Linked DNA regions of Tribolium castaneum. The protein of the gene in region 2 interacts with the protein of the main gene of each other region in a pairwise test. Links are inferred from orthologs where the notes say so. Each region holds a gene or a part of one and is shown on either strand. Other genes may lie near its edges. The genes, in order: RapGAP1 and Galphao.

Region 1 (3,830 bases), on a different chromosome or scaffold from region 2:
GGCTCGAAGGACCAAAAAATGTTGTTTTTCGCGATTTTTGCAAAAAAATTGAAAATAAGTGTGCTTACCTTGTGTTGGGCGTGTTGGGCTCGACCACCTGCACTACGATGAACGCGTGCAAGAAGTGCGACGCTATCATATCTGGCGAAAAGGGCGTGTTCTCCTCTTGGAAAACGATCGCCACGATGTCGTTGCCTATGTGCCTCTTCCGCTGCAACTGTTGGGGGTCGCTTTCCGTGTAGGGCAGCAAGGTGGAGACATGAAACATGATTTCGCGGTCTTTGAACACTTCGTAAACCGCTTGATCCCCCGTGTGCCCGTTCTGGATGTCCAGGCCGCCTCTGTATCCCTTGTGATCCTTGAGCTGTATCCTCTGCCCGAGCAGCGCAAGGAAATCGTCAAAGGCGGGACTGGTGATGTTATTACAGAACAGCTCCTCTTCCGTCGTCTGCCCGAACTTCTGGTACATGACGCCGAATTTGAAGTTCGTAACGAGGACATGCTCGTCGTAGTTGGCGATGAGTTGGGAAGCTTTCGGGTGCAACACCGGGACGAAGTTGTCGATGTTGAGCTGTTCGTTGAGGAGTTTCGCCATGCGGGCCGGGCTGGGGCTGTCGCCGAGACAGGAGGAGGGCACGATCTCGTGCATGGTCCCGGTGCGCATCCGGAGGAGGATCCGGGTGTGCTCCTGGTTGGCCACGTTCTCGGTTTTTATCGACAGGAGGACAGGGCCCAAGGTCTCGTCGTTGCCGATCAGGGATGTGTGCTCCTGGAATTTTTGGACAATTGAAAAATTTTATTACGGCTAGTGTACGGGTTACTAAAGGTTAGGATACGAAACGGCGTCCAATTAAAACGTCCCCGTCCTCAATAGTTACGGTAATTACGCCAGAGAGCGCAATTGTTGCATTACCGCCTAATTTTTCAGAAGAAATAGTTGTATTTGTATAACGGTTAACACATAACAAACAAAAAATACAGGCAGATAGAGTATTAAATTCTCGATAGGAAGACATAAATATAATAAATATCGTAAACTATGTTTAAAAAAATTTCAAACTTTTACCAATTTGGTCACTGCTCCATATTTTTAAAGATGGTTTTATACGCAAAATGAGCCGCTGAATTCAATGGAACAAACCGCATTGCTCTACGACTTTTAGTTTTTGAGTTATGAATTTTTTTTGGTAAATAAAATTTTTCGTTATAGATATTGCCTATCTTAATTTTTAGCAAAAAACTTTAAACGTTTACATCTTGTTAAAAAATGGTTTTATACGCAAAATGAGCCGCTGAATTCAATGGAACAAACCGCATTGCTCTTCGATTTTTAGTTTTGGAGTTATGAATTTTTTGGTAAATAAAATTTTTCATTATAGATATTGCCTATCTTAATTTTTAGCAAAAAACTTTAAAAGTTTACATCTTGTTAAAAGACGGTTTTTATACGCAAAATGAGCCGCTGAATTCAATGAAACAAACCGCATTGTTCTATGACTTTTAGTTTTTGAGTTATGAATTTTTTTTTTAAATAAAATTTTTCACTATAGATATTGCCTATCTCAATTTTTAGCAAAAAACTTTAAAAGTTTACATCTTGTTAAAAGATGGTTTTATACGCAAAATGAGCCGCTGAATTCAATGGAACAAACCGCATTGCTCTTCGATTTTTAGTTTTTGAGTTATGAATTTTTTTGGTAAATAAAATTTTTCACTATAGATATTGCCTATCTTAATTTTTAGCAAAAAACTTTAAAAGTTTACATCTTGTTAAAAGACGGTTTTATACGCAAAATGAGCCGCTGAATTCAATGAAACAAACCGCATTGTTCTATGACTTTTAGTTTTTAAGTTATGAATTTTTTTTGGTAAATAAAATTTTTCACTATACATATTGCCTATCTCAATTTTTAGCAAAAAACTTTAAAAGTTTACATCTTGTTAAAAAATGGTTTTATACGCAAAATGAGCCGCTGAATTCAATGGAACAAACCGCATTGCTCTACGACTTTTAGTTTTTGAGTTATGAATTTTTTTTGGTAAATAAAATTTTTCATTATAGATAGATATTGCCTATCTTAATTTTTAGCAAAAAACTTTAAAAGTTTACATCTTGTTAAAAAATGGTTTTATACACAAAATGAGCCGCTGAATTCAATGGAACAAACCGCATTGCTCTACGACTTTTATTTTTTGAGTTATGAATTTTTTTTGGTAAATAAAATTTTTCACTATAGATATTGCCTATCTTAATTTTTAGCAAAAAACTTTAAAAGTTTACATCTTGTTAAAAAACGGTTTTATACGCAAAATGAGCCGCTGAATTCAATGGAACAAACCGTATTGCTCTACGACTTTTAGTTTTTGAGTTATGAATTTTTTTTTGGTAAATAAAATTTTTCGCTATAGATATTGCCTATCTTAATTTTTAACAAAAAACTTTAAAAGTTTACATCCTGTTAATAGATGGTTTTATACGCAAAATGAGCCGCTGAATTCAATGGAACAAACCGCATTGCTCTTCGATTTTTAGTTTTTGGGTTATGAATTTTTTTGGTAAATAAAATTTTTCACTATAGATATTGCCTATCTTCATTTTTAGCAAAAAAACTTTAAAAGTTTACATCTTGTTAAAAAATGGTTTTATACGCAGATGAGCCGCTGAATTCAATGGAACAAACCGCATTGCTCTACGACTTTTAGTTTTTAAGTTATGAATTTTTTTTCGTAAATAAAATTTTTCACTATAGATATTGCCTATCTTCATTTTTAGCAAAAAAACTTTAAAAGTTTACATCTTGTTAAAAAATGGTTTAATACGCAAAATGAGCCGCTGAATTCAATGGAACAAACCGCATTGCTCTACGACTTTTAGTTTTTAAGTTATGAATTTTTTTTCGTAAATAAAATTTTTCACTATAGATATTGCCTATCTTCATTTTTAGCAAAAAAACTTTAAAAGTTTACATCTTGTTAAAAAATGGTTTTATACGCAAAATGAGCCGCTGAATTCAATGGAACAAACCGCATTGCTCTACGACTTTTAGTTTTTGAGTTATGAATTTTTTTTTGGTAAATAAATTTTTAGTAGTTCCTGAAGCTCAGCCATTTTGAAAATAATTTAATTGAACTCGGAATGATAGATTTGGATCGTATACAAAATTTTAAAGCCCTAGTTTTATTAGAAATTAAAAAGTTTCTAATGTAGGCCATAAAAGAATCACCCTGTATAGAATAAAGCGCAAATTTGAAGTAAATATTTTTTCTCATGTTTCTCGTGTAATTTTCTGTACCTTTTTCCGAGTAATTATTTAATTTAATATTTTTGGGTACGGAAAATTGTGCGATTTTGTGTCCCGTTTCGCCTCCTAACCCACAGCCCTCCGTAGTCTTGTGATAAAACTTGTGCTTGAGGTTGGGCGCCTCTTGCCGTTGTTATTTTTCCGAGAGACTTTCGCGCCCACGCCTAGTTCTTATTATTGTGAGTCTATTGTTGGTAGAATTATGAGGAACAATGACGCGGTTTCTTGTCAAGTCGCGATGCTGCGACACCCCCGTGGAAATTTATAATTGGGATTGGGTGTGAAAACGCTCAGCGTTTTTTACCAAATGATGGATTTGTTGGGGCGGGAACGGCAAGTTGTTAACTTGGACGTAGACAATGACGGGTTTAAAGAGATAATATAGGAGAACACACCCACGAATAGTGAAAGTGCGATGGTTTTTTCCTTGGTCGGTGATTTAGTAGAGTTGAGACGATCGATTGCGAATTTAGAACGAATTGACTAATTGATCCGCAGTCTGATATTTGAAAAATCCGACCAATTTGT
Region 2 (3,830 bases):
GTAATACATTTTCAGTTTCTTCATCAAATGCTGTGCAACAAGACATTCTTATTTAATTTGTCTATGATTTGTCTGCATTTTCGTCACTCTTTTTTATTAAAAATTGAAAAATGATAAAGAAATCTATAAGTATTATATATTTCGAGGATGGTCTTCATATGACTAATGCTTTCACATTCAACATTTTCTAAAATTGCTGTCGGTACCTAGTCTGTATTTTTGTGTAATACACTTTAATTTGTTTAATGGCATTTTTTTCAAAATAAAACAAAAACCGAAATTCTATTATCATTTTAATATCTTTTTTAAAATTACTAGAACTGTTTCACATGTCGGTCTATAAAAAAACCGTTGTCAGTTCCCCTCATTAAATAAACCATTCAGCAATTATCGTTGTTCAAATTGCAAATCTCATTTTGCAACTTTGAAAACGCTTACTAACTTCTGACACTTATGGTTAGTTTATAAAAGCGCCATTAATTTAATCTGCAAATAAATGCGTGATTAATTGATCATGTGACCAAATTGAACAAATTTGATTGGTCCATTCGTGTTGTTAACTTTTAACAGCGAATTAAATTTTAACAAAACTTTCTATAAACCGACCCTAAATGAACTTTAAATCAAAAACTTCTGCAAAAATCTTCGCCAATCCAAAATGTAGTCTTTTGCATTGCAATCCAAAATTCGTCATTTAATAAAATGCGACGAAAGGTTTTTGTGTCCTCTCTTAGTAATCACTAAAAAACACAAAAAAATCAAACTACTTAGTACCTACTTATACAATATGAAACTTTCATTTACACCTAAAGTTTTTAATTACTAAATAAAATTTGGTTCCGCAACTACAGGGTTTCGCGCATTTTAATTTCACCTGCTTATAAAAATTCGTTGTTAGGTAAAAGCAAGTACTATTTATTTTTGCGCGCATAGTGAATTAGTTGAAAATATATTTCAAAATATATAATTGTGATGTGAGAAGAAAGATAAACAGTGAATCAACAAAAAATGAAAAAAAAAAGATAAAAGAGACACTGCAAAATTAATTGGTGAATTTACTAAACTGAGTTCAGAACACAAATACAGGGTAATTTTTAAACAACGGCAGCCGGTGTAGAATTTTTCTTTATGACGCTGCTGGCGATTTAAAAAAAATGGATTATATTCAACTTTTTTATTTAATTTGGGACCCATTTTTTTCATAATTTGGAAAATTAGCACAGATATTAGTTTGTTTAGTACAGACATCTACAATATGTTCTAATTTTACTAAAAATTATTGTTTAAAGAACTTATCAGCAAAGTTGTATACGTAAAAATTTGATTTTTTTAAATTGTGGTTATAAATTTTATTTGTTATTTTCCTTGAAACGTTTAGTTTTGGTACTTTGTTACTAAAACTACAAACTTTTCTGATAACCCACTTGCTTCTTTTTTGGAGTGACATTAGATAGTGTTTATTTATTTTATTTATTAAATAAGGGCGCCAAAACTTTTTTCTGTGAATACTCACTGTCGTTTCATCCTCGTGCAGGACTTGATCATATTCGCTCATCGCTACGCAGAAAATAATTGCCGTCACGTCTTCGAAACAGTGAATCCACTTCTTTCTTTCTGACCTCTGACCACCCACATCGAATAATCTGTAAAAGTAAATTACACGATGTATTTACTTCACTGCGACACATAAAAGGTTCTTTGAATTCAAGCACATTTAATTCCGTGAGTCACAATGAAAGAGGCTCTGGAAATGAGTTGCTGCAGCAGATGCTAAAAACGTAGCCATTTAATATTTCAAAAGACTTTGTGCAATGGAAACTTTTGCAAACGGTTGTTTTTACGTGGGAAAACCCACGACAACTTATAAAATAGGCTTCGCTCTTTCAGCTCTTTATTAATAGAAACACAAGGAAAAACTTTTTTCATTTACTTTCGTGTTTATTAAAAATCGCCAACAAACTCACTTGAAATTGAGGTTTTTAAACGAGAAATGCACTTCGACGATCCCCGTCGTTTTGACTCTTGTGCGGAGGATGTCCTGTTCCGTAGGTTGATAGTCTTTGGCACCTAATCGGTCCAGATCGTCCAGGAAACTGGAAAAAAAACGTCGTGGGTAATACCTTACCCTGAATGGTCGATTTTTGCTTACTATTTAGCGGAATCGTTCAGTTGGTATTCGTTGGAACGACCGAAACATTCTTGAACCCCCGAATCAGCCCATAACCGCTTCATGGCGGCGAGGAGTTCTTCGGAAAAAGGTTCCGTGTCTTCCATCCTTTGGATAACGTCGAAAACCATTTTACCATCGATCTGTTGGCGAAATTCACATTTTATATTCGATCAGCAACAGGTAACAAGGTCATTGAAGCCTGCCCTTTTTGGCTACGGTGAATGAACGTGCACTTTAAAATAAACTTTGACTTAATCCGCAAGTGGTCTCGTTTAACATTAACCCGAAACAAAAAAAAGCTTGCTATAATACTCCAGTAAACGAAGTTAGTAACACAGATTTGTTTGTTACTATACAGACTGTTCCGTCTGAACCGTACATTAGAAGTACAGAAAGTTCTGATAATTATATAAATCTGAAAATTGGTGCACACCCTAAGCCGTTGGAAGTCCGTATTAACTTTCTTATTTTAAAGATATGTTTTTTACTTTCGTCAGATTTTCCAATAACTAAATTTAGCGTTTTTCGAAATATTTAAAAATCTTTGTAAATTTTTGTTTTTGCACCTTTCACTTAAAAAATCGTCAATTCTGCTATTTTTAGAATTTTAAAAAACGTTTTCGAAAAATCAAAACAGAAAGCCTATATCTTTCCTTCAGTGTGTTCAAAATTAGAAAAAAAGTTTACGAACTCCAAAATTTTAATGTTATTTTTGCACAACTTCAACAAGCTATAAGGCAATTTTTTCAAATGGAATGCCTCAATTTTTATTTTACTACTTCAGATATCTATTAATATCCATTTATGACAATTTTCAAGTTATGTTGATTTATTTACTTTGACTTTTGACAATGTCGGAAATTCCTTACTAGCCACAGATATTTTTGTAGAGTTTAACAAAGAAACATTTCTCATTGAATAAACGATAAGTTCTGCTGATAATTTTGCTTTCCTTTCCGTAAAAACAAAATATTAGCTGTTTCAAAGCTATAAAAACGCCAACGTCGCATTTTCTCTCAAAATTAGCTGTTATAAATTATTTATTCATCGATACTGTCAAAATTTCCGGTTTTTCTCCTGTGTAAAACAGTTTTGATAACTGTTTGGCATTTCTCGACACGAAACGTCAGAATATTTTAACAGATTTAAAGCAATTTTAAGCCTTGTTGAGTCTAATTCGAAGAATAAAATGTCGTATTCGACTCTTTTTCTTGTAAATCGGTTCACTCATTTCATCTCGTAGATGATAAACCACTCATTTTGACTCGTGGTTTGATAATTCATTCGTGAAATAAAACGTCCGATTTACACTCAAACTAGTTAAATAATAGTATATTAAAAAACTAGTTTCATAAGACCAAAGCACGAATTCAGTTTTTGAAAGAATAAGTGCTCTAAGGTCTTATGAAACGAGTTTTTTATACTATTATTTGTAATTTGACCCCTTTTTGCCGTTTTTAAACAAAAATTGTTATTTTAGTCGATTTAGGGATTTTTGTGATTGTTGGTAATATCTCAATTTTTAAAGTGAAAAATTGATTTAAAATTTTTGTTTTATCAAATTTGTGAAATTCACAAAAATACGGTCCCGATTTTGCTTCTTGCCAACCCAAAAATTTTCGTAAAATGTTCCGTCAAATAATGACTATTATAACAACGC

What was found.
Region 1: the proteins of Galphao (region 2) and RapGAP1 interact in a two-hybrid assay, tested with the Caenorhabditis elegans proteins (2 studies listed by BioGRID). The link is inferred for Tribolium castaneum from reciprocal best matches to the Caenorhabditis elegans genes goa-1 and F53A10.2.

Annotation. Positions count from the first base shown.
Region 1 is NC_087399.1:7,382,906-7,386,735, forward strand, and holds part of RapGAP1 (rap1 GTPase-activating protein 1), read right to left. Parts: intron 770-3,830; coding exon 69-769; intron 1-68.
Region 2 is NC_087396.1:19,006,339-19,010,168, reverse strand, and holds part of Galphao (guanine nucleotide-binding protein G(o) subunit alpha), read right to left. Parts: intron 2,311-3,830; coding exon 2,150-2,310; intron 2,094-2,149; coding exon 1,965-2,093; intron 1,644-1,964; coding exon 1,514-1,643; intron 1-1,513. UniProt on the Caenorhabditis elegans protein: Guanine nucleotide-binding proteins (G proteins) are involved as modulators or transducers in various transmembrane signaling systems. In the 1-cell embryo, probably together with gpa-16, controls nuclear rotation and spindle elongation during mitosis.